Arabidopsis thaliana: one gene and its partners. The protein of the gene in region 3 interacts with the protein of the main gene of each other region in a pairwise test. Each region holds a gene or a part of one and is shown on either strand. Other genes may lie near its edges.

Region 1 (9,680 bases), on a different chromosome or scaffold from region 3:
TAAAAAGGAATAATCCCCAAAACGACGCCGTTTAATAGACATAATTAGGGTTTAAGCTTCTTTTTTTTTTTTTTTGGTGTATCTTCGGGATTTCAAGTTGTCTCTTTTATTTATTTCTCCGATCATCTTTTCTCTGCTGAAGATAGTTGAGAGAAGAACCTCGAAAGATGAGATCTTTATTGGTTTTTAGAAAAATCCCTTCACGGATTCGTCTTCGTAACTTGAGAAACAATAAACCCTTTTGTTCACAGTCTCAGTTTCCCAAAGAATCTGAGAATCCAAGTCAAGAGCAGAGACTACTAGTTTACGGATCCACTTCTGAAGAAAACCCAGTTACCTCCAAAGTGAGTCTTTTGTCTGCGAAGCCTGAACAGAAGGACGATGCATCTGTAATCGATGTTCTTCTCAATCGCAGGAACAACCCAGAAGCTGCTCTTCGTTTCTATAATTGGGCTAGACCATGGCGTGGAAGTTTTGAAGATGGTGACGTCTTCTGGGTACTCATTCATATTCTGGTCAGTTCTCCTGAGACCTATGGACGTGCAAGTGATTTGCTCATACGGTACGTTTCTACGAGCAATCCAACTCCAATGGCAAGTGTTTTGGTCAGTAAATTGGTGGATTCGGCGAAATCATTTGGGTTTGAAGTCAATTCACGAGCTTTTAATTACTTATTGAATGCTTATTCTAAAGATAGGCAAACGGATCATGCGGTGGATATCGTCAACCAGATGTTGGAACTAGATGTGATTCCATTTTTTCCATATGTGAATAGGACCTTGAGTGCTTTAGTTCAAAGGAATTCGTTAACTGAAGCTAAGGAACTCTACAGTAGGATGGTTGCCATTGGTGTTGATGGTGATAATGTAACAACGCAATTGTTAATGAGAGCTAGTTTGAGAGAAGAAAAGCCTGCGGAGGCTTTGGAGGTTTTAAGTAGAGCTATTGAGAGAGGAGCAGAACCGGATAGTTTACTGTATAGTCTTGCTGTTCAGGCTTGTTGCAAGACGCTTGATTTGGCTATGGCTAATAGTTTATTGAGAGAGATGAAGGAGAAGAAGTTGTGTGTCCCGTCGCAGGAAACTTATACTTCTGTGATTTTGGCTTCTGTGAAGCAAGGTAATATGGATGATGCAATTAGATTGAAGGATGAGATGTTGAGTGATGGGATATCGATGAATGTAGTTGCTGCGACGAGTCTGATCACGGGACACTGCAAGAACAATGACTTGGTTAGTGCTTTGGTTTTGTTTGATAAGATGGAAAAGGAAGGCCCCTCTCCGAACAGCGTTACTTTTTCGGTTCTGATAGAATGGTTTCGTAAGAACGGGGAAATGGAAAAGGCGCTTGAATTTTACAAGAAAATGGAAGTCTTAGGTCTTACTCCTTCTGTCTTTCATGTCCACACGATAATTCAAGGGTGGTTGAAAGGTCAGAAACATGAAGAGGCACTGAAACTCTTTGACGAGTCTTTTGAAACCGGTCTTGCAAACGTGTTTGTATGTAACACTATATTATCCTGGTTATGCAAGCAAGGTAAGACAGACGAAGCTACAGAGTTATTAAGCAAGATGGAAAGTAGAGGTATTGGACCGAATGTAGTTTCTTACAATAACGTGATGCTTGGCCACTGCAGACAGAAAAACATGGACTTGGCTCGTATTGTTTTTTCAAATATACTGGAAAAGGGTCTAAAGCCGAATAACTACACGTATTCCATTCTGATTGATGGATGTTTCAGGAATCATGATGAACAAAACGCTTTGGAAGTCGTCAATCATATGACTTCTTCCAATATTGAAGTCAACGGGGTTGTATACCAAACAATTATCAATGGTTTATGCAAAGTTGGTCAGACATCCAAAGCAAGAGAATTGTTGGCAAATATGATCGAAGAAAAACGGTTATGTGTTAGTTGCATGAGTTACAATAGCATTATAGATGGATTTTTCAAAGAGGGTGAAATGGATTCTGCGGTTGCAGCATACGAAGAGATGTGTGGCAATGGTATTTCTCCAAACGTCATAACTTATACCAGCTTGATGAATGGGTTATGCAAAAATAACAGAATGGATCAAGCATTGGAAATGAGAGACGAAATGAAGAACAAAGGTGTCAAACTCGATATTCCAGCCTATGGTGCTCTTATCGATGGGTTCTGCAAAAGGAGTAACATGGAAAGCGCATCTGCTCTGTTCTCTGAACTCCTTGAAGAAGGATTGAATCCAAGCCAACCTATATACAACAGCTTGATTTCTGGATTTCGTAATCTGGGAAACATGGTAGCAGCCCTTGATTTGTACAAGAAAATGTTGAAAGACGGTCTACGATGTGATCTGGGTACATATACAACACTGATTGATGGATTGTTGAAAGATGGAAATTTGATCCTGGCCTCTGAGTTGTACACAGAAATGCAGGCGGTGGGTCTTGTCCCTGATGAAATCATTTACACAGTAATTGTAAACGGTCTTAGCAAGAAGGGGCAGTTTGTAAAAGTGGTTAAGATGTTTGAGGAGATGAAGAAGAATAATGTCACTCCGAATGTCCTTATCTACAACGCGGTGATTGCCGGACATTATAGAGAAGGAAATCTCGATGAGGCTTTTAGACTTCACGATGAGATGCTTGACAAGGGTATTTTACCCGATGGTGCTACATTTGATATTCTAGTTAGTGGGCAAGTCGGAAACCTCCAACCTGTACGTGCAGCAAGTTTGTAGTCTGCCAAAACCAGACCACATTATTGACTGATGACTTAGCTTTGGCTTTTCGTGAGACCCCGATAATATGACTGCTTAAGGTGTGCACTTTTCATTTTGCACGGTTGTAGTATAAATGTTGTTATTCATGAAAGAGGGAGACTCTATAGACTTTCTGTAAAGAAACTAAGAAGGGCCTTCTGTTTTTGTCAATTTTATAAAACATAGAACGAATTCAAACCAGAATAATTTGACTCTGTATTCTTATACTGAGCTTCTTTATTTCCCAACTGAAACCAGGTTCCAGTTTTTCAAGGTCTTCTGAGGCATCTATGTTGGTGGGTGATGAAACCAGTGCACTGAGTCCTTATTAAACTCTTCATATGATTCTTCTAGCATATCGTCTGCTCGAGTAAGGCTACTCCATGTGAACTGGAACAGGAAAACACAAAGCCCTTTTGAAATCTGCCAGATTCAAAACCCAGAAAGGAACCTGCAACTGACACAGAGAATAATATCCACCGGTTAGCCTGCGAGGTTATAGTTATCGGAACCGTTAAGTTACAAGATTCGGATTATCTTTTTATTTGTCTGTCTTTTGCCTGCTTCTGAGATCAACTTTGCTCATAAATGATGGTTTTGGGTTAATCAGTTTATAGCTTGGTCTAAGACTCTTAGTTGCTACTGCCCACTGGTGGTGATGTGCTTTTAGCTTTTTTATGTGCAAATTCTTCGTGATGATAACCACGTTTGGTATATAATTCGAGTTGAAGTTAGAACAAACACTTCCAATATTTCTCACTCATTAAGGAAAGAATCAAATTTTATCCTTGTATACAATAATCAGATAGAGTAAAAATATATATTAGTTAAGAGAGTGTAGAACGATCCTATGGATCAAAACAATTGGACATGGAGGAAGAGGAACTTGTCATGCTGATAAAAGGGAATCCTGATGATGCTGCAACTGTCTTCAGAGGTTTCATGGTTGCCATGGGTAAAAATATCGATGATTGCTTACCGTATAAACCCATCGTGGACCGATTGATACCCTTATAGTAATCGCCTGTTGTCAACTTTATACTTTCCGATGATGATGAAATTCCGAGACTTAGTTCAAGATCATTGTGACCATTTCCTATAAAAATGACAATGTTAATGGATAAGTTGCTCAAATGGAGAGTGCTAAAAATTTTATGAAAAGGTTAGCTAGCTTCCTTGATCAGATTTAAAGTATATGTAAAATTTGTGGTTAGTGTTATATATAGATTGGCAATGTTCACTTAAATTTATCAACCATGCCTTATAATAAACTTAGTTACATTCTGAGTCACACCATATTAATCAATTACCTTTGATATGGGCACCAAACTTCATGGCTCCTTCTCCCTTTCCCAACTCATTGTATTTTATTGCTGCTGCATCCCATCCCCTACGAATTTTGCACATACGTATAAACATTTCTAAGTTTATTCACAGCATAACACTAACTCTTGTTTCATTTTTTTTTTTTAACAATGGTATTCTGTGAAGCATTTACAACGAAACATAAAAGGTAAACTTAAGAAACCATCATCCCCGACAGTATCAAACTCTTGAAACGGACGATGGTTTCAAGCTTGCACCTAAATGGAAACAAACGTAACGTTGGCTTGGTATAGTTTGAGGGGGATATATAAGTAAAAGTATTTGAAAATTGCCATTCACTTAGAAAATTAAATTTGAGTAGAAAATTTTGTACCTTCACGAAGTTTTTTTTTTTTTTTTACTACTTAGTTTTGATTAATTGTATATATATGGACTAATTGATGTATATATGATTGAACTGGATAAAAGTTATTCTTTCTTTTAGTAGTATATAAAAATAAATATTATTAATTAGCTAGCTAGTTTATAACTTTTTTTCAGCAAACTTTAAAATTGTGTAAGACGACAATAACTTTTCCAAAAAGTGAAGGTTAGGCTTTGAATGGTAAAGCACTAGCTAGATGAATAGATAGAATAAAAATAAATTGAATATAGGTGAAATATAGTTAAGATAAGTGACGGATTTATAATATTGTCATCCATGATCCGCCAAGTGAAATGTATTTTCCATGATGTAGATTGTGTAAATAGTAAAATTAGGCCATTTCATCAAAAAGTAGGGAATATTTCAACCATATTTTATTCATACTAATAAGACTAACTATTTGCACTTTAAACTTGTCAAAAGATTACGTGTCTAACAAAATGGTACCTGTTTTGGAAGAGATGAATCTGATCATGAGTTTTGAATTGGGTGCATTTTTGAAGAGCCAAGCCTTTGTATTTGGAACTTCCTCTTCCGAAACTCGCACTCTCTCGCCTAAGTGTTTGCACGAACTCCACCTTATTTAAATTCTTCATCTATACATAAATTGATAATTTTAAAGATCCACATGTATTATTTCGAACTATACAGGGAAATGAATCATCTTCATAACGTAATATATATATATATATATATATATATATATATATATATATATATATGTTTAACCTTATCGATGTCATGCCTATAATCATCCACGACGAAATTGATGTCTGCATCGAGACCACGGAATTTGATAGCAGCTCGGTCGTAAGCCCTGGTATTCATTTATGAATAAGTCAAATTGATATTAATTATTTATTGTCTTCAACAAACTCTAATGTGTATATGTTGACAAAATTAAAACATATTCAAATGACGAATGTTGTAACAAATAATGTGTATATATATATATATTTTACCTTGCTGCTGCGTAAGCAGTATCAAACCCGCCTGTTAAAACGAAAATTAAGTCAAGGAAAAAAAGTTAGATTAATACAAATAATCAACTTGTGTTCACTTAAACGTGAAAGACAGAAGTAACAAACATAGGTAAATGAGCTGTAATAGTCTATTATGTTTTTTTGTCTTTTTACAAAAAAAAAACATACATCCTTTAAAAAAAAAAGAATAGAGGTAGTTGACAAAAAATAAACTTTTTTAACAGACGTTGTCAGAGAAGATCTACAAATCAAAATTATCACAAAAATACGATTGTTTTAAAATTCATCGTTTATGCCTAAAAATAGACACACACGTAATTAAAGATGACCCAATAATTAAATAAAAATCTGATCTACTTACCCAAATAAACTTGCTTTCCACAATCCCTACAAATTAATCAATTCCAAACCCAAAATTAGAGATAAATATAGCAATAATTCAACAAATAACAATATAAAAATGCAATGATAATATTAAAAATGAAATATAATTTGATTTACCAAATATGAGATTCCCAACGACCGGTGCGACGGTAAAAAGTGACGCCACGATATTGGGAGCTACGAGACCTTGGTCCTCTTCTGCTCTTCTTCACCATTTTCTGTGTATTTCTTTGTAAAGAAGAAAGATTCAACCAGTGACTGTCTTCCACGGAGAATTCTATATTCCGACGAGCATCAGCCACCACCGGAAAGAGATCTCCTGTTTCTTTATGAGGAGGAGGAGGAGGAGGAGGAACAAGGTCATCGTCGCGTTTGAGAATTCCAAAAGCGATGAAAGCATCTCTCGCTGCAGAGTCTGTTGTGGAGGAGGAAGATGAGTTAGATTCTTCTTCACCGGTGGTTGAGATCATTAATGGTACTTTCCGATCTTGATCTTCGTTATAAGAAGAAAAGATCTTTAGGTTAAGATCCAACATGATCGAATCTTTAGCTATAAACGACGTTGTTCTTTTTTCCGGCGAGAGAGAGAGGGAGAGAGAAAAAAGAGAGAGGATAAGTGTCAAAAACGAGAGAGAGAGAGAGTTCTAAAAGAGGGAAGAAAAAAAAGAACGTGGGACGTGTTCACTGTGAAGGTTGCATTGGATACACTTGCCCTTTATTTGCCTTTTCAACTCTTTTTTTTTATATATAAAATTGATTTCTATAATTATATGATTGTACTTGCCTTGCCGATGTATCGAATAAACATATTTTGTACTATATATTAGTTTTCATTTTTGTTAATTAAATATGGGAGAGCCGTAGATAGGGTTGTACGATGAGTTTTTATATATTAACACTTTTGATGTTGTAAACTCAACCGCGTTAATACGATGTAATAACAAAAACAAAAGTTTTCTCTTCCTTTTAAGTGAAGTCGACCTGTAATTTTAAAATAGTAAACAAAACTAATGCCATCAAATAGGTGAGGAGAGTAAAGTATAAAGATACTAGCTTATACTATTACTTATGTTCTTTAGCCTTCTACTTGGTAAAGAGACCTCGTGAATATAATATGATAGATTATTTTTCCCTCGTAAAATACAGCTACTTGATTTATCTAATGATACATCTTTTGATCAAGTCATCGACAAGTTTAACAAAATAGATAACATCATAAAGAGTTTAAGAATTTTTTTTTAATGTTGTTTTAGTATTAAGATCAAAACCAAAAGTCAAACCTTAAAGGACGTATTATATTGTGATTGGTTGAAGAGTAAGTAGTTTTTAATTTCTATGCATTATATCAAAAAACAAGCGTTATTACTTTTATTTTTCAAACCAAAGCATTCTAATTTGATATAGTTTAATGCCGAAGAAATTTGTTAATGCATGCTCGAATGTGGAATTGTCTGTAAGATTATAAATTTGTTCTTAATTGACAAGTGTACGTTATTAGGCCTAGTGTGACCACAAACAAAATATAATTGAAAATAAGATAGCCCCATCAATTATAAAAGTACTAAAAAGTCAATATCTGAAATTTTCAACAACCTAAATCTAGCAATATTAGGAATTTGCCGACTTTTACAAATTTTCAATTTATCCTTAATTAGCAACAGATTATATAGCGATTATCGATGCGATTATGTTTGTTATTGGTAACACAATTTCTCAGCAAAATTTAGAATTTTGAGGAATAATGAGCCGTTGTTGTCAATTTTTTTTTATTTTAAATGTTATTTCTTAATCATTACTTATTTTTATCCTTCCTTACATAAAATGACCTAAATATCTTTGATTTTCGGAAAACGTAAGTTAATGATGAGAATGAATAGTAGATGGGTAAAATCCAATAAATAATTTTTTTATTTTTTTTGGTAAGGATAAATAAATTTTTATATTATATCTGAATTTGTAATTTCTTCTAACATGTTAGTAAATTATACGATTAAAAAAGAAAATATGAAACACAATTCAACATAGTTATTTCACATTTTAAAGCATTCAACAACAAAATTAACCGGTTAACATCGTCTACTCTCTGCATTTTAGTAATAAAATTAGGTCATTATTTTTCGATAAAATTCATTAAATTTGGCATTTAGCGACAACAATTATTGATAGGTCCCTCGTGTGATTCCAACGTGTCAAGATATGAAAAAAAATCTAACGGTCAGGGATTTTTTGGTACTTCGCGTCGCAATGGTATCTTCTCAACGTGTTAAATAAACCCACATGTGATTTTGTTTCTCTATGCGTCATTTAACGAATCAGGACAATCCTTTCTCTATCTTTTTTTCTTTTTCTTTTCTTTATTTTGCCAAAGGACAACCCTTTTCCATTTAAATTAAAGATTACGATATATGGATAAAACATAGCAACGAAAAATTAGAGAGACCGACAGATTTTTTTTGTTAGTTTTATATTATATTTTATTTATCACACATTTTAGAAGAAATTAAACCTAGTTGTTGTGCTTTCGCATCCCAATATACATAAATCACAATCAACTGAGATTTCGTAAGAGTTGATTTAGGTTATGGTTTAATCTATAAGAAGGAGATACCATTTGCATTTCATCTTTATACTGAAATATTGGTGAAGAAAAGGAGTTTCAAATGGACTGTCATAAATTTAAATAAACCATTTAAAATATTTTAACTATCCTTCTTTAACACATTCATCCTCAAGCCTTTTTTTTCTTCTTCTTTATCACTAGTGGGATGGATCTTCAATTCCAAATTATTGGAGGAACAAGAAAGATGATAATCTAGACCACAACATAAACTATACAATAAAATGATAAATGTGTTATAGTCAATGAATAAAGAATAAGAGAGATGGTGTGATGTTTACACGTTTGGGGCCTAAACCAAAAAAAAAGGATGGGTCCAATATGCCAACTACTACTATTGTATTGAGAGTAGGAAGAGAGAGAAACCTTAATGGAGACAGAGGGACAGTGGGGTTATGTCAATTGTCATATTATTCAACCACTCACCAATCACTCACTCCAAATCTATATCTCTCTTTTTACAAATAATTATGATAGATTTGATGATAAGTTGGTTCTCAAATCCCAGCCGTTCAATTTATCCAGATATGCAAGAAAATATTAGATTTTAAGGAATCGGCCTTTCCTTATTTGGTAAGACTAAATATCTCTGTTCATTCTAGTTCCAATAGGTAAAAGAGTAACCTTTTTTCTTACATTATTAATAACTTGCATTGCACAATAACGTATTACCCTATAATTCACAATGATAATGTGTTTTGAAGTCATCTACACACTTCAAAGTTTATTACTCAATCGAAAATTGAAATATTGTCTACCACTCAAATTTCTTGAAATGGTTAAAATACTTGAACGTGTACTATATGCAAAAATCTCTGATATTTAACTGCTTTGAAATTTTTATCAGAATATTACTAGTGATGGGTCAATTTCTTTGTTAACCTTGTGCTTTATGCACTTATGTTTATAGTCTCTATTTTCTACACCTAAACAACACAATCTATTTGTAGGTTGCAACTCGGACCCAAATTTTTTGCTAAATTTTTTGTTGAAGTCTTATATTAAGCTAGGATTGTGACTTAAAATATGAATAAAACTCATATTGTTGGCTTAAAAAACGAATTAGGATGTTTGTATTTAGTAGGAACATAGTGTTATGAAACCACATCTGATAAACACATGATTTTAAAGTGTTTTAAAAACTATTCTAGCTTCAAAACCAGTTTCTCATTCATCCCGAATCTTTTTTTCCATCACATATA
Region 2 (11,180 bases), on a different chromosome or scaffold from region 3:
GATCTCATGATCCAACTCTGCTGTTCTTCTAACTTCATCACCATCGTCTTTCGCAAAGACACTTTCATCACCTAGAAACTGGCTTGCCATAGATCTTAGCTTCTCTTTAGACTCTTTAATCTTCACATGCTCTTCTCTAGCTTCTTCATAAGACTTCTCTTGCTTCTCCTGCAACTCCACTAGCTTCTCCTGACAAGACTTTATCGCAGTCTCGGTCATCAATCTCCGAGCTTCCTCGTCTTCAATCGCAACACTCTCACCAAACTCATCCTGCAAACCACAGATCCTCTCTTGTTTCTCCTTAATACCTTTTTCAAACTCCCAATACTTAGACAAACCTATCTCATAAGAACTCTTCACAAACTCCTTCTCCGTCTGCAACGCCAAAATCTCTTTCTGCAACTTATCAATCTCCCCCATCGCCTCAGGCTTACTCAAACCCGAGCTCTTAACAACAACATTCGTAGAACCACCCGTGTACTTCATAGATTTCCTCGGCTGAAGCTTCTTCGTAGCCACTCTAACCGCACTCTTCAAATCCTTAACAGGCAGTTTGGGAACATTAGGGACATTAGCACCAGAAATATTCGATCTTTTAGCAAATTTAGACATATCAATATCATCATCCATGGCAAAGTTTGGAACTTGATCAGGAAAAACAGAGGCGATCGTCGTGTTAGCATTTTGAAGCTCTGTAGAAATATGATCATAACGTTCAGCTAAAGCTCTATAAGCTCTGTAAGATTCTTCAACGAAGCTAATGAGTTCTGGTCTCTTCTTATAATACATCTCTGCACGCTTCGCAAACGAATCTCCATCTTCTTGTAATAGCTTCAACACATATTGAACCTTCTCTTCAATATCTACAAATTCATATCCAAAACAAAAAATAGATCAAACCTCAAAGATCTCAACTTTTTAGAAACAAACACCTATATAAAGAGACATGGATTCAAAAGGAGAGACCTTGAAGGTTTTGTTCGAGCCATTTAGATTGTTTGGTTCGAATATGACTCGCCCACCACCATGAATACGCATTACTCGCAGCTCGTTGCAGCATCGTCGTAAAGTTTTCGTTTTTTCAACTCTTTTTGATCGTATTCATTCAAATTCCCAGAAAGATTGTAACTTTGATATGTGTGTGAACCAACAATCTCTCTCTGTAGAGTCTAGATCTTAATAAGAAAAGAAAAAGAAAGAGAAAAGTTTCGGTTTTTAGAGAGACCCACAAGGAAACTTAAAGGTCTTTTTTGGTTGTAAATCAAAATCAGAATTGAGGAAAGAACGTGCAACAATTGAATCTCTTTTTTTTTTCTTTCTTTCTTAGAGAAGAGCGATCATGGGTGGGAGCAAACTTCGCTCTTCTTTCTCTCTCTCTACCTTAATAGTATTTTGGTAAAAATATTTTAAAGACTATTAAAAAAAAAATTGTTACAAAATTTTCAATATTTGATTTATATGTACGAATGGTGTTTACACGAATGTTATAGTGCCAGCGTCGTGGTAGGAGAAGTCGGAAGGATTCTCTTCCGATGATTCTTATGAATCATCAAACGTTACAGAACATGTCAGAAATGTATGATTTTATTAAATTAAACTAGATTTTAACCCGCGGTATACCGCGGAGACAATTCATTTTTTAAAATTAATATATATAAAATTTTGTAAATTATTTTATAGTTTACTATTGTTACTAAGTAACGTCCTGCCAAACCCGTCCTTCCAAACCCGTCCACAAAAAAAAACTATTTATTTTATTAATATTGATCTTATTTATAATATGTTTATGAATCATTGTCAAAATATTTTAGTCGTTGCGGGACGTTGAACCCACACATTTTTCGCCAATTGGTTAATATATATGTTCATTCTTAAAATTTCGAATCACAAAATATGACGAAATTTTTTTTGAGATTTTTTTAATTTTATATATTATATAATAATGTTAATTAGTTTTGATAGATTAAACTTTTTATAAATTCAAATATTAATAATGTTTTATGAAGTTTAAATATATAAATAATAATATTTAAAAAATTAATATTTTTTGCCTTTTAGGTAATGATATAATAACTCTAAAAGCAAAAATTTAGAAGATTTAAATCTTTAAATAAATATTTTCATGTCTAAATAATTAATGTGAAGTTTATGCTAATTTTAAGGGATTGATGTGAAGTTTGTTTGGATTAAATTTGATTGATAATGTGATTGACAATTTAAATTAAAAATTTAATGTAAAATTAATTATTTTGGAAAAAAAATTTAATGTTAATGGCATTGAGTTGTAAATAAATCTAACTCTAAGATTTATTTGCTAAAATAGCTGCAAAAATGTATATATAGATTAATCTGACAAAGAATTTTAGTGGATAAAGGAATGTGAAAATGTCGTTTTGTTTAATAAAAAAGTTGTAAAGATGTTGAAGCAAGCAAAGAATTTAATCATTAAGTAATTGAATCTTAAAGAACTTTTTTCCCCTTTGTGACGGTTTAAACATAAAACCGGACACGTTTTGATGAACCGGTCAAAGGTCGGTGTGTAACGATCCGACCAGAACCTTCTTTCTTGTGCAAAGTATCTCTAAAACGTCAAACCTCATTATATAGAGGCCCATTTACTGAATTTTGAGAAAATCTGAAACTTTTTTAGATTTTGGACGTTGTGTAACGAATGATGAATTAGAAGCAAAGTTTCAAACCATATTCATATTTCTTGTTGCTAACATAATGAATCGTATGAATATGGTTTGAAACTTTGCTTCTAATTTATTATCATAGAACTCAGTCTCATCCAACCGCACAGCTCCAACTAAACTACAAATGTGTTTCTCAAACAAGACACATTGCAAGTGTCACACACACAAGTAAGATCATCAATTCACCAGAATCATCACCAATGAAGACACTTGAAATCTCTGGTCTGAGAAAACTTGTAAAACTTTGCAACAAATTCAACAAAACAACAAGATGAATTCGAATCACACTTTTGTTACACTAAAATTTCTAATGAGACTGAGTCCTATGATGATTATTAGTTATTTGAGGCATCACTAAAATATATTTTTGATCCCTAACCAAGAGTATATCGATAATCAAAATTCTACAATATTTTATATTCTAACTTTCCATAACGAGAAAGTTTATCGGTGACAAGCGTTACTAACCAGAAATGCAGTGAAGAGAGATCATACATAGTGAAAATCATAAAAATGAAAGCCTCTTCCATAGGCAGAAACTTACACAAACATTTGAGAATTCACTACTTAGACATTGTCTCTTGTTACTACCGAGTTAAAAAGATTTACATTACTCTCCTCACTCCATCAACTTCTTTGAATTGTTCCATCTCTAACCACCATACGGTAAGCTGCACAACACCATACATTAAATCAATAACTTATTTTTTAGAGTGATTTTGTAGATGATTAGATTTGTGCCAGAATTTTCAAAAAACAAACCATAAATAAGTGGTGTTTTTTATGACAGGTAATTTTAACAAATAGCATGATATCATGTAAAATATACAAAATAACATGTTATTTGTTAGAATTACAAATATACAACAAATAAACCAAATTTATTTACGATTCTGTGTCATCCATATCTTGCAATGCCAATAAATATGGACAACATACATGTATATGGTCGTTTAAAGTATATATTTTTATATTCTTTGTCTCAATTTAAAAACAAAAAAAAAATCATGTAAAGCTATCAACTCAAAAGAATGTAAAAAGAAAGGGTGATTAATTGGTTACCCGAGCCTAAGGGAAGTGTCGGAGCTCTCGGAGTCAACAGGCGCTCCGGTAGAGTTTCCGGCGTTAGTAATAGACTCCGACGACTGTCCTTCCTCGTACACAGCAGCGTTCTCCGATTCAGCACCACCGTGTGCATGCACATTGTTACATATCTACACGTAACCAAAAAAAAATATTCCAAATTTAACATTAAACTGATAACAAACATACAAAATTCAAAATAATCAAGACTATATATATATCCACGTACTTGCATGCCAAGTCGCTCGTTCTCTTCCGTTAGTTGCGTTCCCTGCAAAAATCAAGACAAAACATATCATTAAGTTCTCTAGCTAAGTATTTGCATTTTGTGTTTTTAGTGGCACCATGTGTTTTGAATTTCTCTAGAGATCAACTAACTACGAATGAGCAAATCTTGACATGAAGCCTCGACCAAACTATATATCAAACAAGAATTAGATATATATTCGTTTATGGTTCCCTGTTTCAAAAAACAAAATGAAGATGAAAAAGAAAAAACGCACCAAATCCATGCATGCACACTCGTAGACCTCTAGGACCCTAGAGACTAACTAGCTACATGGTTACCTTTAGTTTTAAAGACATTTTTAAATCGCGCTATATCACTTGGTTTATTCATTTATCTCACAGTATGATCAAACATATGTGTTGTAGACAACTGGGGATTAAATTTAGGGGTGTGTACGTTAATGGTAGACAAAAGAAAGGGATTTGTTATCAACAGAGAGGGTAAGACACATACTTGCTGCCTCAACCGCTTGTTCTCATCCATCAATTGCATTCCCTGAACACCAAAAAAAAAGAGAAGAAGATGAAAATTTTGGATCTTGAAACTGCCAAAATTAATATTGAAATCATCAAGTAAAGAATAAACGTTATTTTGGTTAATTATTACCTTTTTCTGAAGTTCGCTGATCTCACTCATAATCTTGTCACTCTGCAAACACATCTCGTATTAGTAAATTGCATACTCGTAAGCTTAGAGAAACTTATACATGGTATCAAGTAATTTTCTTAACAACCTTTGTTTCAATCACACGCGTCAAACCAGTTTCAAGGGCCTTCTCTAGCTGCTGAAGCTCTTCAATGTCAAGTCCTTGAAGTTCCTCTCCTCTCATTTGCCTATATATGATCATGTAAACACACAGTTAGAAAATGATAGTGGTTGATCAAAAAAAAAATTAGTTAGAAAATGATAGTTAGTTCAAAAGTCATAGAATATACATATATAACGTACCTTAGTCGGTGGCTCTTGTCCGCAATTTCTTTACTCATTCGGGCGTGATCACTGTTCTCAACCAGCTAACAGAATAAAACATTGATTTAAGCTCTTAATCATATCCATAATGATCTAAAGCTCAACTCTCTACACAGGACTACTCTACATGACTACTACATGGATCGAGTCTAATTAATCATATGCAATAATATAAAGTTTTGTACCTATTAATACAAAGTTTTAAGAGATTCTTGGTCAATAAATACAACAATCTAAAACATATTGGTAATTCAACGGAGTAATACTCGATTTTGCAAGTTACAGAAATCGGGAAAGAAAATGTGTGGTCGTTTCGAGAATGTAGCTAACCTGTAACTCAAGAGATGGCTGATCAAGCTTCTCCAAGTTCTTTGACTGCAAGTTATGCCTCTCTAGGACTTCCTTCATGCTTCATAATATAAACACATTCCAATAAATAACTTATTATAAACAACTATACTGTTGATATTAACAATGTGCATATGTAAACACCGACAATATACCAAAATCTAAAATCAAAAGATGCAAACCAAATCCACAAAACACATTTAATCCCAAACATGTACATTATTTCATGTTAACACTATCGTTTTCAGTTACATATATACACAATTATCTGTGAAAGTGTGTATGTCCCCGAAGATAGGAACTGAGCTGATAACTAGTGGGTCAAAAATCCAAAATCGTATCTCTGTAATACGATAAGTCATTTTAGATCCCTAATATCAATAATATCTCTCTAAATGACTTTTCCCAACACTAATAAAGATTCCAACATATCTATACATATACATATATATATATATATTATTTTTAGATTACTTCTTCAAAGGGAAAGCTTTATACATCCACACATATAGATACTTCCTCATGTTATGGTACCCACATATTTCTATATAAATATGACATTGACGGCTTAAACATATCATACCACAATATCTATATACATAGATTTATACATGGTTGACACAAATACCTACTATAGAGCATGTATTTATATACTAATAATATACATATATGCATATCCAGATTTACATCTTTTTGAATATTACCGTAGTTAGATACCTTAATTTATCTAAATACAGAGTTTTACTATACACTTTATATATGTCATTTATGGTCATGATTAATGTTTCTAACAACTATTTTAATTATATAAATAGTTAGTGGTCCTATAAAGATTGATACAGTAAACTCCTATGTATCAGATATACATCTAAAAACTCTTTAAAGTTTTTTGTCTGGATCTAGACAAGATTCCTTCGATGAGTTATGAGAAATCTATAGAGAGGGAAGTTAGAGAGAGAAAGAAAGACCTGGAGCTACAGAACTCGAACAGTTTTCCGGTGGAAGAGAAGATGATGAGAGCGACATCGGCGTCGCAGAGAACGGAGAGTTCTTCAGCTTTCTTGAAAAGCCCTCTTCTTCGTTTCGAAAACGTCACTTGTCTCGCCGTTGCGTTGTCGATCTTCCTGATCTGAATCTTTTCTCTCGCCATCACAACGAACAAAAAAACCCTAGAAGCAAGAGAGAGAGCTTAGGTTTTGATTTTAATGGATCTTTCGAGAACGGGATTGATTTTGATGGATCAAGATTCAAGAATGAGAGATGATTAAAGAGAGAGTAAAGAGAAGAGATGGAGGAGGAGGAAGAAGAAGCCAGAGGAAATAAATTTTGTGAGAGAGAGAATTTTTGCTAAAAAGGGAGACTTTAAAGAAGAGAGAGAGAGTGACAAGACGACTGAAATGGAAAGTAAATCGTGTTCTTTTTGCTAAATTTAGAAGAATAAATATGATTTCAAGACAGTAAAAACCCTAGTTTTTGAAAGATTTGAAAGAAAGAACACACTCAGTCTTTTGTGAGAAGAATTAGATCTAGTCGATGAATCAACAAGGAAATTAGAGAGGATCAAAAGAAAAAAAACTCAAGAAGAAGAAGAAAACTAAAGGAGAAAAAAAGCTAAGGGAATATATTTAATTTTCCACCTCAAAGGTCGAGGAGAGAAGAAGACATGAGAAGGTTTTGATTGGTGAAGGATGAGATATTTTCAGGGAGAGGTTTATTAATTTTATAATACTATCAAGATGATGGGGTTTCTTAAATGATTATTTTTGGAAAGAAAACGATATATATTATATTTTTAGTTTTAGTTTTTTTTTTGGATATTGGTCTGTGTGTGGTGGTTATTGGATATGGTGAGGTAATAGGATTTATAAGTCTCCAATGAGATGAGAGAGAGAAGAGAAGTGTGTGTTTGGGTCAGTGGGGAATTTCTTTTTATAGGGAAGCATAAAATGAGTTGTCTCACTTTGTTCACTTATACTCCTTGTAACTAATTGGTTGGTATTTACTGCAAAAACTAACTAGAAGACCTGAAGAACATCAAGGGCTACAACGTATTTTCATTTTTGTAAATCTACGTACTATATGGTAATGGTACCTCATAACAAAATTCAGAAAGAACAAAATAATATCAACTGTATATTATTTTTATTTATGTAAAAACATTTGGGAAGATGACATTTCAGAATTTTTCTGAGGACAATGTTTTGTTTTTACTGAAAGAAATAAGTTTGTGAGTTCGGCCTTGGTTTGTAAGAATCCAACTCGGAAATGACAAAATAATTTGTTAATTTCAAAGACATTAGTGCAATAATTTTTGAAAATTTAGTAGTCAATCATGTGGCATATAACTTGTCGAAAAATTGTGTCCTTAAAAAAAGAGGTTTGTAACCTAATGAACCATATCTACTCAGATACATGTAGTCCATTATACAATTACAATCTATGCACTAATTTGGAAAGTTTGTCATGCACAAATAAATTTTGTTCAATCCCAGTAACAATTACACACACAATGGGGGTATCAATCATCACTGAAGTATTTTTTTATAAAACCAATTGAATATGTAACTCAAAATAAAATTTAAATGAAATCACTTTCTTACGAGGTTATTTATCATTTAACATTTTAATACATAAGCTCAACATTACAAATCACATATACTTCACCAACGTCAACAACAGAACCAAACATATGATTTCAATCGCCACAATCATCATTCCATAGACTAAAAAGCAATTTACAAAACCGTGATTAAAGGTAAGAAAATAAAATTAAAGGGTTTTTAAAAATAAAATAATGTTTAAGCATACCTTCATACGAAGAAACAGTGAATAGAGGGACCCTCGAGGCACGAGCCAGAGTAAAATAAAAAGTGTCGACCACTAAAATTTTTCAAAGGGACCCAAAACCAGACCCGAAGCAGCCACAAGAAATCTGATTGGGACACGATCCATTGTCCGTACAGAATTTTATTTCTAAATTAAAGTTTTACCCAAATAAAGATACTCCACGCAACTACTACAAACCCATTCTTCTTCTCTTTATTACTCCAAGTTTGCAATAATCTACCCTTCAAGAATACATGTGGCTCGTATCACTCACCCCCTATTTGAGTATTATTTACTCTTCCGACGAAACTCTTGTGTTGTATTATTGCGAATTTATTATGATACTATATGAATTATGAAGTTGCAAACGGTAAAAAAGTCATATGGTTGATGTGATTAATACGGTGTTAAATATAATTATGGTTTGCGTTAATTTACTGTAAACTCTTTTCTTTTCTTCTTTAACTCTTTTCTATCTAATTGGGTAATCAAGCAAATATAGTTGAATTATAATTTGAAATTTTTGTTGACAACAAAATATTAATATGGTTTGCGTTTGTGTTCTACGAGTAATGGAATTATGGAAGTTTTTAAAACAAAAATGTAGTATTTTTTGAAAATTTTGATGACGTATATTAGAAAACACTAGAAAACAAAACCTTCTAGTGGTTAAAGTTGCTAGGAGAATAACTATAAGAGAGGTGGCCTGATCGATATTACTTATTTCGGCATAATACATATTCCTTTCTAACGTATTTTAAACAAAGAAAATCGTTGAGTTTTTTTCAGCTTGGTTTGGTTTCGAAAAAAAAAAAGTTTGTTCACTCACAAAATTATTATCAAGTAATGTTTATTCATATTTGTCATGGTTTGGTAAAAGTAGATTAAATTTGGTAGAACATCCATCAATTGGCGTTTGGAACCGCATGAATCATTTATATTTGAAATTGAATAGTGTTTAGAGGCGCACGTGACACAACTGGTGAGGTCTTTGAGTTTTGATTGGTCAAAGTGTCAGAGTTTTTATGAGTAGACGACTCGTGACCTTTCCCTTAACAGTTCCAAGCCTCTCTAATGAAACATTGCACCTAACCTTTTAGCCATTTTAGGCTTCTTTCTTTCTACACAGTCCCTACACTACACACTCTCTCTGACACATCAAGGAAACTACAGTCACCGTTATCATAAAGCGGAGTCCCTAATGGGCTTTTTATTATTATTGGGCTTTTATTAGGCCCAAATTTTCCTTACGAGTAAAATAAGTATTATTTTGGTTCAGTTTCTCGCCGGATCCTGAAAATGACGACGGCGGCGATGACTTGTACGAGACTGACGATATTTACGGTGGCCGGAATATTACTTCAGATTATTGGCCTCTCCATTTTCGTATTCGGTTTCTTCCCCGTCAAGCCGACTCTCTCCGGCGTCAGGTACTACTAAATCAATAACATTTGAAGTCGAAGAAGAAGAATCTACGCTCTATTGATTTGTTTATTTGAAATGGCAGTGGCTCGGAGAGCTATCGAGATCCATTCTGTGATTCTTCTCTGATTTCGAACGAATCGGAGCTTCATCATCCAGAGAAACTGAGATTGCTGTACCAGGTATTTGTCTCTTTTGTGAATCCAAAAACAAATGTGTAAAGTTCCCTTTTGAGTTTGATAGTGGTGAATTTGTAGGAGTTATCTGGAATCTCTTCCAAATATGATCGACTGATTTTAATGGTATGTTGCACTTTGTTAAAATTTTGATTTTGATCTTTGTGAGAGAGTGTTTTTGAGGATGTTAAAGCGATGCTAGTTTAGGTTATTGATGGGCTACCTGCGGAGTTCGTTCTTGGGAAAGATGGTAAACCTCCAGAGAAGGTTTTGAAAGAGTCTATGCCTTATACTCAGTCACTGTTAGCTAATGGAGATGCTATTGGTTACCATGCTAAAGCAGCTCCTCCAACTGTTACCATGCCGAGGTTAAAGGTGTGTGTATAGTTGTGATTAAGTGGATGATCACAGTCTAAATGAATTTATTTGCTTGCTTAGTTGATAGAATTCATTGTTTTTTTCAGGCAATGGTTTCTGGGGCAATTGGTGGTTTCTTGGATGTTGCTTTTAATTTTAACACACAAGCTCTCTTAGATGATAATATTCTTGGTAACTATTAGTTTTCAACAATGAGAAATTTTTCATGCTTGCAAACATTGAAAGAAAAGCTATGTGACATTGGTCCAAATTTACCAGGTCAGTTTTTCAGGATTGGTTGGAAAATGGTGATGCTCGGTGATGAGACGTGGCTCAAGTTATTTCCAGGGCTATTTATGAGACATGACGGTGTTAGCAGTTTCTTTGTGAGTTAATGTGATGTTTGGTTTTGTTGATTGCTTTTCTTATCGACATCATGGTCATCTGAACAAAAAATGTTTTTTTGGACAGGTCAAAGATACAGTACAGGTAGACAGAAATGTTTCTCGACACTTGCCCGATGAGCTAAACAGTGATGATTGGAATCTCTTGGTTAGTTTTTACTTTTTCTTTTATTCCCCAGTATTGGCGTCTGGTTCATTTAACGCCAATGGATTGTTCTCTGCCTTAAAATATATACTGACTTAAACAAAAATTCCTCTTGTATATCAATTGAGCTTTTCTGTGCTTTATTCTTACTAGATCTACCCCTTATCAGATCCTTCATTACCTTGGTTTAGATCACGTTGGACATACTGGCGGCCGTAACAGGTCTTTGTTAGTTTCATAACTCATTTGTGAGTAGAAAGGTTACTAGTTGCATGGCTTATTCATCTTATTATTTGTTTCTCTATACTAGCCCCTTGATGCCTGCAAAACTTAAAGAAATGGATGATATAGTTAGAACAATGCATTTAAGAGCCATGATGGATCGCAGCCATGATCAAGGACAGACTCTTCTGGTCAGTGACTTTTCGTATTTGAAGGTCCATTTGACTTTCATATGTCAAGAGT
Region 3 (9,906 bases):
TGTGTTTCTTCTGTAGGTTGTACCATCGATTGCGATTGCATTTGTGACATATGAGATGGTGAAAGACGTTTTAGGAGTGGAGTTTAGGATATCAGACTGAGTCATTTGATATCTCAATGCCGTCAAGAAAGCGCACTTCTATTTTTGTAGCCAGAAGAGAAGTTCAACAAAGTTAGGGGGGCTTTATTTATCTCCTTTCAACATCCGGTGGGAAGGATAAATGGCTATAGGGGCTTAGCCAAACTCTTTTTTTTTTTCTTCTTCTACACTTAGATTGGGTTTATGCTTTTATGCTGAATCAAATAAGTCAGTGGCCAACTACATTTGGTACTGCAGTTTGTGCTACAACATGTTTGGGCTCCTCTTTTCTCATTCAATTATTTACACTCTTGTTATGACCCTTATTGGTTACTTTGCCTATTTACAAAATTCATGTGCTTGTGTCATTTTTATGTACCTTTGATCACACACATGTTATGCACCTTTGTTAGATGATGTAAAAATGATTGAGAATATTGGATCGTAATTTATATGAAAGTGAAAAGTGAAAACAAGAAGGGAGAAGAAAAACACAAATAATACATACATACACAGTGATCTTTCGTAAAGCTGAACTCTTGCCACATCTTTAAACGTTTTGAATCCCGACCAAAAAAATAAAGACACATCAATCAATCATCATAACTTATGAGTGCAATTTAATCCTGCATTGAAATTAGAAACACAACATTAATATTCTAATTTTCAAGATGAACATTAAAATAGATTTCATATACATTTAACTTGGATAGGTACGTACCATTTAAGCATTTTGATGGTGCATTTACTCATCTTTGAATCAAGCGTTTGTAATCTCACGCCACCGCAACTGATAGTAACCCCCACCGTAACAATCTTACGCCTTCCCACACCCAATCCTACCTTCGTTTTAGCCATCACTTTCACCACCAACTTTTTACTCTTCATGTCCGCTCTTAGCCTCTTAACCGTCGGATCATCCACCTGTTGCTTCTTCACTTTTATCGGAACAATCACAACCGTCCGATTCCCTGGCTTCTCCACAAATCCTTTGACTTTCGTTGACCCGAGACTCGTTTCGAAATCATCTTCTCCTACACTCACCGCCACGTCAACGTTACCGTAATAGTAACGTAACTTCCCGTTAGGGTTTCTGAAATCAAGCCTCGCTGTAGCCTCCGCCGTCAACTGCGATAAACCGTCGCCGGCTTTCCCACCGGAAAAGTTGAAATTGCTGACGCGGAAAGAGGAGAGACGTACGACGGGGAGTCTCGGGCTGTAATAAAGAAAGAAAACGGAGACGGTGAGGATAAGGAGGAGAATGACAATGGCGACGGTGATGCAGACGCAGCAGCAAAAGACGCGGCAACGACTCCATTGTCTCTTCTTCGTCGGATAAAACGCCGCAGGAATGGCATGTTTTGGTGGGCGACGAAGCATTGATGATGATGATGAAGATGAACCGAGTGGAGTTTGAGGTTGCGAGTGGAGCTCACGGTAGCCTGGTGGTTTTTGAAGCACCGGTTTAAGTAGAGTCTCTCCCGCCATTTCTTAGTCTCCGGTGGTGGTCGTTAAACTTCTTTGATGATCTCTGTTCTTCTCTTCTCCATGTAATGTTAAGTTTAACTATAACTACAAAGTAAAATTGAGATTAAATTTTGAATAGTCAGCTTTCATGTCTTATAAAATATTACAATGTTATGATTTTGTCTATAATAAAATAAGTCTTGTGTATCCTGTCCTACCAACAAACACAAATTAAGTAATTTGATTTTTCCGACACTTTGGCCACTTACTGAAATTATTTTGGCTCTCTGTAATATGAATTGCTCAATGTTTTTTTAAAATATTGGACTTGGTCATGAGTTTATGGCCTTTGGTAATGAATACATTTGTGTCTAGATTTCTAGATGACTTCCATATTTTTTCATACAAATTCTTCTTCAAACATGCATTATTCCAGTAATCAAACATCCCAAGATATTGAACAATGACAAATATGGAATTAATCAGACCGATTTTAGTATTCAATTTACGAGGAATCTCACCAAATTATCTGTCAAAAGTACAAACAAACACTCACGTTTAGTGGTTAAGGGAAGCACGTCGATTTTGAAGACTAATGTGATAAATCTTCTTTTATATATCACATAAGAAAAGTGTGTTTACGAAACGAAAGACCATCAAATATGTCTCCCCTTATCTCTAATACATTTGCTTATATAACTAAACCTATCTATCACCAATTATGTGGTTGCAGCACACACCAGAGAACACCGAATCTCTTAAACCATATTACATCAATTTCTGCTCACTATGCAGAGAGCTACAAATCTAAGAATAAAAACAAAAAGTCTCCTTTTAAGTTACAATCACAACCCAAAGGAAGAAATATCGGGTTCTCATTGTTGCGGCCACGGTCAGCTAGCCGCGACAGGATCGGTTATCGGACTTGCATTTAACAGTTGATGCTGCACAGTTTTGCTACCTGATACAGAGTTGTTCTTATCAACTCGAGAGATCAGGTTCTCTGTTTTCCCTGTTGCTTGCGCTTTCAGTTGATCCTGCAGAGGAATAACTAGCGTTATTATGATCAATAGACTTATGATTACTGTTCAAAATGCGAGTAGATTGTTACCAATATAGCTTCGTTCTCCAGCCGTAGTTTCTCAGACTCATTGTTTAGCTGGCCTAGTTTAGACCTCAGAGACATGTTCTCAGCTACTAATGCGTCAACTTTGACAGATAGTTGTTCTGTTTCAGCCTATGTGAACAACAAACAATCCATTAAGTAAATATGAAAATCTATCAGCTCTCATCATTAGTCTTTAGTTACAAAATGTTTAGTAGCAATCACCTGCTTCCTCAGTCTTGACCTCCTAGCAGATTCTCGGTTTGACTGTTTTCTCTTCTCTCGTTTAACCTCTTTTTCATTCTGCAGATAAACACACACTAACACCAATAAACAAACAAAAGGGGATGTCACGAATAAATGAAGTCAACGAGAGTGGCACAAGAATACTATACCCATGGCTGTGGCACACCGTTCATGCCAGCAGAGTTTTGGAAACTCATTGCTGTGGGCATAACAGGAGTCCCCATAGTCACATCGGGTTTCTCATTTTCACCTCTAAGAGGCAGACTGTTTTGAGATGAGGGTCTTTCACCTACCAAGTACAAAAGCCATTAGCTTTAAATAGTTGTAAACATTAAAAGCATACAATTATTTGCGTTGTGTTATTTTTCAGGAAGAAATACCAGTGCTTGGTGATCTTTGTTGCCTTCTTTTCCTCCTAGATTGTTCTCCCTGTGGTAATAAAAAAAGAAGAATATGAATAAAGATCGCAAAAGATAAATCTAAACCTAGTTCAGAGCAGAGAGGACGAGTCCATACCCCAGTTGTATTACCATCACTACCATTGCTAGAGCCATCATTCTCGGAGCTAGTTGATATCAAAACCACGTTAGATTCTATATATCTAAGTATCTATTGAATAAGAAAGAGTTGAGGCTAGTTTGACAAACCTCTGAGAACTCCTATGTTCACTGCTGCTATGTTCAGCACTCCCAACTTTGTTATTGCTTATTGACATTGCAAGTCCATCGAACTCTTTCAGCTTTTTCATGAACCCATGATCTGAGTTTCCAGCTGAATTAGCTGGTGCATCAATGGTCAAAGGGGTTGTAACCTGCAAACATTCTCATACATTCATATCCAATATCCATCATACTGCACATTTCACACAGAAACATCACAAGACAATTGACTTACTCCAGATGCTGATTGAGAAACAGGACCTTGTGGTTGTGAGCCCTGGTAAAGTAAAGTAGGAAAACACAAATCAGTAAATCTGGTCTTTTCAACTATTTGTTGATATAAAGTAACCACTAAAAGGAAGGGAGGATTACCATTTGAACACCAGGATGAGCATAAACTCCACCAGGAGGGCAAAATGGTGGATATGGTGCTCCATAAGGAGCCATCATTGGCTACAACAACAAAGAAAGATCAAACTCAATCCAAAGTAACAGATATACATTCAACAAGTTTAATATAAGTACCGATGGAGACGCCCACATATAAGGCGGTGGAGCATGACCAGGCGCCAAATTTGAGTTGTAATATTGAGGTATACCAACTCTAGGCCCATAATATGCCTACAAATATCATGAGAAACAAGCTAAAATCACTCAGGCTAATAAAACACAATTCACACAGCAGAAACAAAACAAGGTCAAAGAAAAATCACCTGCATAGCAGCCCAGTCATGATGATACACATGAACATTACTCTGCTCCTGTATATATACAAAGTAAAACAACAACAACAATCAAACTTTGACTAAACACAAATCTGTTACTAAACCAATCAGTTTCCATTGATTCCATTACTTACAGGAGCAGCAGCTTGCGATGGCTTATCAGAGTTGTTAGTGGGGTTTCCTTCTTCGTTGCTACCCATTGCTCAATGCAGAGTAATGACACAGTAACTTTATAAACAAAAAAATGATCAGATCTTTTAGCAGTTCCTCTGTAAAGCATAAATCTAAAAGAACAGTATTCAATTACACCTAGATCTCGCAATTGTGGACATCAAACTATAAATATAACAGAGATCCGAGTAACTATAAAGTATAGCACCACTGAATCTACCAGTAAAAGATTCAAAGTCGAGTTTTTTCCTCTGTCAAAAGTTCAAAACTATCACCAACTAGTAGAGTTACACAATTCAATCTACCTTTAACTTTCCTAGTAATTTTCTTCACTCAATACACACTTTCTCGAGAAAACAGAGCGTTCATATATAATCACTCAGATATTCATTGAAGAAAATAACGAAAACCAAAATCCAAAAACGTACCTTGAGTCTCAGGGAAAACAATTCGAATTGAACCCACAAAAGAAAAAAAAACAAATTCGCTTCTCTCTCTTAGTCGGAGAGAATGGTTTCTCTCTCTAGAACCAGAGTTCGGTAAAAGAAGAGAGAGGAAGGAGAAGAGAAGAAAAAGAAGAGAGACACAACGGAGCGCCAAGAGGCTGATGAACACGTCACCGTACACGTGTCATGATCTTGAAGGGTTTGCAAAGGGAACGCATATGCTGAGCTGGCAACCCTAGATCTGCGCTGGACATTTTAAATATCTGACTTAAATAATGATTGGTACACGTAGTCATAATCGCCACCGTTCATCTTGAGATCTCTACGTAGACTTGACGTGCTGCTGATTTTATTCCTTTTAAATAATGAAAATACAGAATTAAACTATAATGTATAATTCATTTGAGATCCACAGATGACGAAACGTGGACTACCAAATCAAGCATATTTGTTTTTACCATTTAATCGACGGCTAATATTGATTTCATCTACGGTAAAATATATCTTTTTTTAACCAGAAAAAGGTTAGAGTGGTCCCCACTGTAGGATCTACTGACTTGTGTCGGCCGTTAGTGGTTTTATAAAGCTGACGTGTCCCACTGAATAAGGAATACCGTTGTGGTCCCTACGGACAACGTGGGATTCGACGCCAGCTCATTTTTTAATTTTTTCTTGAAATCTTTTTTAAAATTTTAGACGATGACTCAATCTTCGCCACGTAGGATCCACCCAATAAAAAAGGGTTAACAAAATCTTATCTTTAATGCTAAATTAGTTGAGATTAATCCATGTTGTTTAAATCCGAAATGATGCATATAATCTTGTTTCTTATAATCATTAAGATTTAGACTGAAGATCTAATTCCAATTTAAGAGAGTCACTAAAAAAAGAATGAATTCAATTTCAGACAAATCCGACAAGGTCAAGGTGACGTGTTCTTGATGCCAATTCTAGTGGGAGCCACTTGACGCGTGCAGTTAGACTCCCGGTCCAAGACATAAATTTACGTTAATACCCTCCTTTATTGGGTTATTATTGGGCCGTAGTTGAATTATTAGACCCAACCTTTTTATCCTGTTCTTGATTGGCACATACTTTGCAAAAAGTTAACAAAATAACTTTTATTGCAAGGCATTACAAGAGAAATGTCAAATTTGGTTGTTGCATACATGACATCTTATTCATATCCAATCCATAAATTGATGTGTTGTTATTCAAACTGGTCTTTTGATGTATTGTTAGACATATCTCATATATATTGAACCCTTGGAATCAATATAATAGATTGGGCTTTATTTATCTTTTATTGGGCTTAAAGGGAATTGTTGGACTAAAAAAACCATTAAGGCTATAACACACTAATTACACGTACAATGAGAGTGAGAGTCACGGACGGGATGATTACAAGAATCATATAGCACCAAATATCTCATCCTCACTCTCACATACAAACACACATTTTGTTCACACAGAGATAGACATGGCTTCCGATATAAACAGAAGAAGATCGTTCTCTCTTCTAGTCTTGATTATTGTGATGCTTTATGGGCATAAAGGTGATTCAAAATGTGATTTCGAAGCAATTTTCAACTTCGGAGACTCGAATTCGGACACTGGCGGATTTTGGGCTGCTTTTCCTGCCCAATCTGGTCCATGGGGAATGACTTATTTCAAGAAACCAGCCGGTCGTGCTTCAGACGGTCGTCTTATCATTGATTTTCTAGGTAACAAATGACTAACAAATACTCTCAAAATTTTCAAAAAACGTATAATATGACAGCAGTATCAAATCCCCTCTACAAAGTATAATTTTTTGTATCCTTTAGTATTAAAATATTTTTTAAAAATATTTAAGATATACTTAGTAGTTCGAGCGTTCAGTTATCCATTCAGTTTCAGTTCGTATCTGTTTGGGTCTAATGTTTAATATCTATTCGCTTATTTTGAAATTTGGGTTTGGTTCCGGTTCTTTCGGTTTAAATATTTAGTATCCATTCGGTTATTTTGCTTTGAATATTTTCGGATATTTCGGTTCTTTTTGATTTTTTTTGGATATTTTCAAGTATTTTTACTATTTAGTCAAAAAATAACTAATATTTTTGAAAAGATAATTATATTTCGGATATTTTCGGTTACTCAAAATATTTTGGTTCGGTACCGACTCGGTTTTCATTTCTTCGGATTTGGTTCTGTACGTTCGGTTCAATTTATTTTTCCAGGTCTAATAATTAGGATTTTAGATTGAAATTTTAAACAAAATCTATAATACTTACTGTTATTACCCAAAAATTATCACTATAGTGCTAAACGTAGTGTTAAATTATTTTAGCCAAATCTCTTGGAATGCCTTTCCTAAGCCCATATTTGCAATCTATTGGATCGGATTTTCGACATGGCGCAAACTTTGCGACGTTAGCGTCCACGGTTCTCTTGCCAAACACGTCTTTATTTGTCTCCGGAATCAGCCCTTTCTCACTCGCTATTCAGCTGAATCAGATGAAACAATTCAAGGTTAATGTCGACGAGTCACATTCTTTGGACCGACCAGGTATATATATCTATAGTCTCTAACCGATGCATGTATAGAATGATCATGAGTATAATAAACAAATGACGTATACTTCCTTGTGTTTTAGGATTGAAGATCTTACCGTCTAAAATTGTTTTCGGAAAATCGCTATACACGTTTTATATTGGTCAAAACGATTTCACATCCAATTTAGCCAGTATTGGAGTTGAGAGAGTGAAACTATATCTTCCACAAGTCATAGGCCAAATTGCTGGAACGATTAAGGTACAAACCTCACCACAAGGTTTTTGGTTTATAGAATCAAGTCTTTTATAAAATTAATACTATCTCGAAACATTTGTATGGATATTATCTTAACCCACTTATAATTCGTATTCTCCATTTGGAAATCCGATTTTTGTATGGTTCATATCCTCCTCTTAAGTTATTTGCTCTTGAATGTAGGAGATATATGGAATAGGTGGTCGGACATTTTTGGTATTGAATTTAGCACCGGTTGGATGTTACCCGGCGATTTTAACCGGTTACACTCATACCGATGCTGATTTAGACAAGTATGGATGTCTCATTCCTGTAAACAAAGCAGTCAAATATTACAACACGTTATTGAATAAGACATTATCTCAGACCAGAACCGAACTAAAAAACGCTACCGTAATTTATTTAGACACGCACAAGATATTGCTTGATCTCTTTCAACACCCCAAATCCTACGGTACGTTATGTCATAACCTTATCTGGTTTAGTTGTACTTCAACCGATAAATTTTCAATTTTTGGTATTTTACGTAACCGAATCCTTTTGTTTTGCTTTCATATATGATAATATCTAAGGTATGAAACACGGTATTAAAGCTTGTTGTGGATATGGTGGACGTCCATACAATTTCAATCAGAAGTTATTTTGTGGCAACACCAAAGTGATTGGAAATTTTTCTACGACGGCCAAAGCTTGCCATGATCCTCACAACTACGTGAGTTGGGATGGAATTCATGCGACGGAGGCCGCAAATCACCACATTTCCATGGCCATTCTCGACGGTTCGATATCATATCCTCCGTTCATACTCAATAACCTATGTTCGCCTTAGCTTTGTATAAGATCATTAGTTGTTAATTTTTTAAATATGAATTTCTAAACTATCCACCAACTAAGCATGTTGTGACAAGCAAAAGTATATAGATAATTAGATATTATATGTATATGTTTAAAATTGCGTAATATGCTTTACAGGTCGATTGTTCTCCTAATCATTTGATTCTTCTTAATTTATTGGATTACGAAATGACATTTCTTTGTCACCTTTTTCGTGCATATCAGATTTGTTTAAAGTTTACGTGACGAATGACGATTGATCTTTTATCTTGTTGTGCCGCCGTATTTTGTATGGACATTACTTGTAATACTATATATATCAGCTATGCGTTAACTATACTCATCAAATACCACATATGATTTATTATATCAAAGTACTTATTAATAAATAATTAAATTAACCTTATATTCAATTGCACTTGGGTGAGAAAGCCGTTAGAAAAAACTCCCGCTATAGAAGAAATGTGGTAGATTTGAACCGAAATTAAATATTTTAAATAATCCAAATCGTGAAATGTAATATTATTACAATATATGTTATCAAATCAAGTATAAAGAAAAACTAATTTGCCAATATTTTTCATTAACATGATATAAATGTTAAAATTTATTTACCTATACTTCTTGAATCATAAAGTTTATCTTATAAACTTGGGAGAGCAATAAAGTCTTCATGATACTTTATAAAGTGTAAAATTTAACACGAAAACTAAGACAAGTAACGAATATGCAATACATAGAAATATCAAAACTATGTACTTTGAATATATTTCCAATTTCTAATCATTTAATTATTTCCTTTTCCTAATATTTTCAATATGGTTAAGTCTTTTCCAGCTATTAAAACTAATGGAAACAATATAATGTCGAATACTCTTCCACTTCAAAATGATTATTACAGTATGTTGTTGTTCATCCTACTATCCCACTCTCATTGTTGTTTAATTTTCATTTATTTTTTTGTTTCAACCACAAATATTTTTAGTTCATTTCATAATTATTTTACTCATATATAAAAACAGTTAGGATAAAACCAAAAAAAAAAAGAAAAAATATGAAGAAGAATCAATGACAAAAGATCAAATATTTTACCAAGAAAACCCAAAATAACCGGTTTAATAAACTAAATGTGGAATGGTTTCCACCCAACCTATATCAAATTGTAGTATGAATTCATTTAAACACACTGTTATATCCTATAATAAATGAGAAAATTCTAATACTAGATATGAAAATAAATATTCTAACAAGAACAAATAATATTAGATATAAAAATAAATGTTCTTGTTATCTTTAGTTCTTTACTGATATTAAGAAAAAATCTAACTATTTATTTTTTTCTTGACCAAATTGAAACCGAATCTGATATCAAACTGATATGAGT

What was found.
Region 1: the proteins of GBF2 (region 3) and SMZ interact in a two-hybrid assay, tested with the Arabidopsis thaliana proteins (one large-scale study listed by BioGRID).
Region 2: the proteins of GBF2 (region 3) and SVP interact in a two-hybrid assay, tested with the Arabidopsis thaliana proteins (one large-scale study listed by BioGRID).

The regions. Positions count from the first base shown.
Region 1 is NC_003074.8:20,370,126-20,379,805, forward strand, and holds SMZ (Integrase-type DNA-binding superfamily protein), read right to left. Parts: upstream 6,398-9,680; coding exon 5,979-6,397; intron 5,865-5,978; coding exon 5,839-5,864; intron 5,488-5,838; coding exon 5,457-5,487; intron 5,312-5,456; coding exon 5,224-5,311; intron 5,091-5,223; coding exon 4,942-5,090; coding exon of another isoform or gene 4,911-4,941; intron 4,137-4,910; exon of another isoform or gene 4,135-4,136; coding exon 4,055-4,134; exon of another isoform or gene 3,841-4,054; coding exon 3,593-3,840; downstream 1-3,592. Other genes in the region: AT3G54980 (Pentatricopeptide repeat (PPR) superfamily protein), read left to right, coding at 168-2,723.
Region 2 is NC_003071.7:9,575,772-9,586,951, reverse strand, and holds SVP (K-box region and MADS-box transcription factor family protein), read right to left. Parts: upstream 7,306-11,180; 5' UTR 6,536-7,305; coding exon 6,354-6,535; intron 5,447-6,353; coding exon 5,368-5,446; intron 5,082-5,367; coding exon 5,017-5,081; intron 4,902-5,016; coding exon 4,802-4,901; intron 4,717-4,801; coding exon 4,675-4,716; intron 4,564-4,674; coding exon 4,522-4,563; intron 4,051-4,521; coding exon 4,009-4,050; intron 3,911-4,008; coding exon 3,759-3,910; intron 3,368-3,758; coding exon 3,349-3,367; 3' UTR 3,051-3,348; downstream 1-3,050. Other genes in the region: NET2D (Kinase interacting (KIP1-like) family protein), read right to left, coding at 1-863, 967-1,060; AT2G22530 (Alkaline-phosphatase-like family protein), read left to right, coding at 9,511-9,641, 9,719-9,815, 9,891-9,935, 10,017-10,184, 10,274-10,358, 10,446-10,552, 10,638-10,718, 10,885-10,937 and 1 more. UniProt on the Arabidopsis thaliana protein: Transcription repressor that inhibit floral transition in the autonomous flowering pathway, independent of photoperiod and temperature. Acts in a dosage-dependent manner.
Region 3 is NC_003075.7:479,491-489,396, forward strand, and holds GBF2 (G-box binding factor 2), read right to left. Parts: upstream 5,035-9,906; 5' UTR 4,880-5,034; intron 4,509-4,879; 5' UTR 4,481-4,508; coding exon 4,415-4,480; intron 4,317-4,414; coding exon 4,269-4,316; intron 4,177-4,268; coding exon 4,081-4,176; intron 4,009-4,080; coding exon 3,928-4,008; intron 3,833-3,927; coding exon 3,791-3,832; intron 3,708-3,790; coding exon 3,544-3,707; intron 3,462-3,543; coding exon 3,413-3,461; intron 3,326-3,412; coding exon 3,277-3,325; intron 3,186-3,276; coding exon 3,046-3,185; intron 2,954-3,045; coding exon 2,876-2,953; intron 2,783-2,875; coding exon 2,657-2,782; intron 2,583-2,656; coding exon 2,439-2,582; 3' UTR 2,079-2,438; downstream 1-2,078. Other genes in the region: ADNT1 (adenine nucleotide transporter 1), read left to right, coding at 17-100; AT4G01110 (late embryogenesis abundant hydroxyproline-rich glycoprotein family protein), read right to left, coding at 686-704, 800-1,566; AT4G01130 (GDSL-like Lipase/Acylhydrolase superfamily protein), read left to right, coding at 6,378-6,621, 7,227-7,445, 7,534-7,691, 7,872-8,142, 8,261-8,517. UniProt on the Arabidopsis thaliana protein: Binds to the G-box motif (5'-CCACGTGG-3') of the rbcS-1A gene promoter. G-box and G-box-like motifs are cis-acting elements defined in promoters of certain plant genes which are regulated by such diverse stimuli as light-induction or hormone control.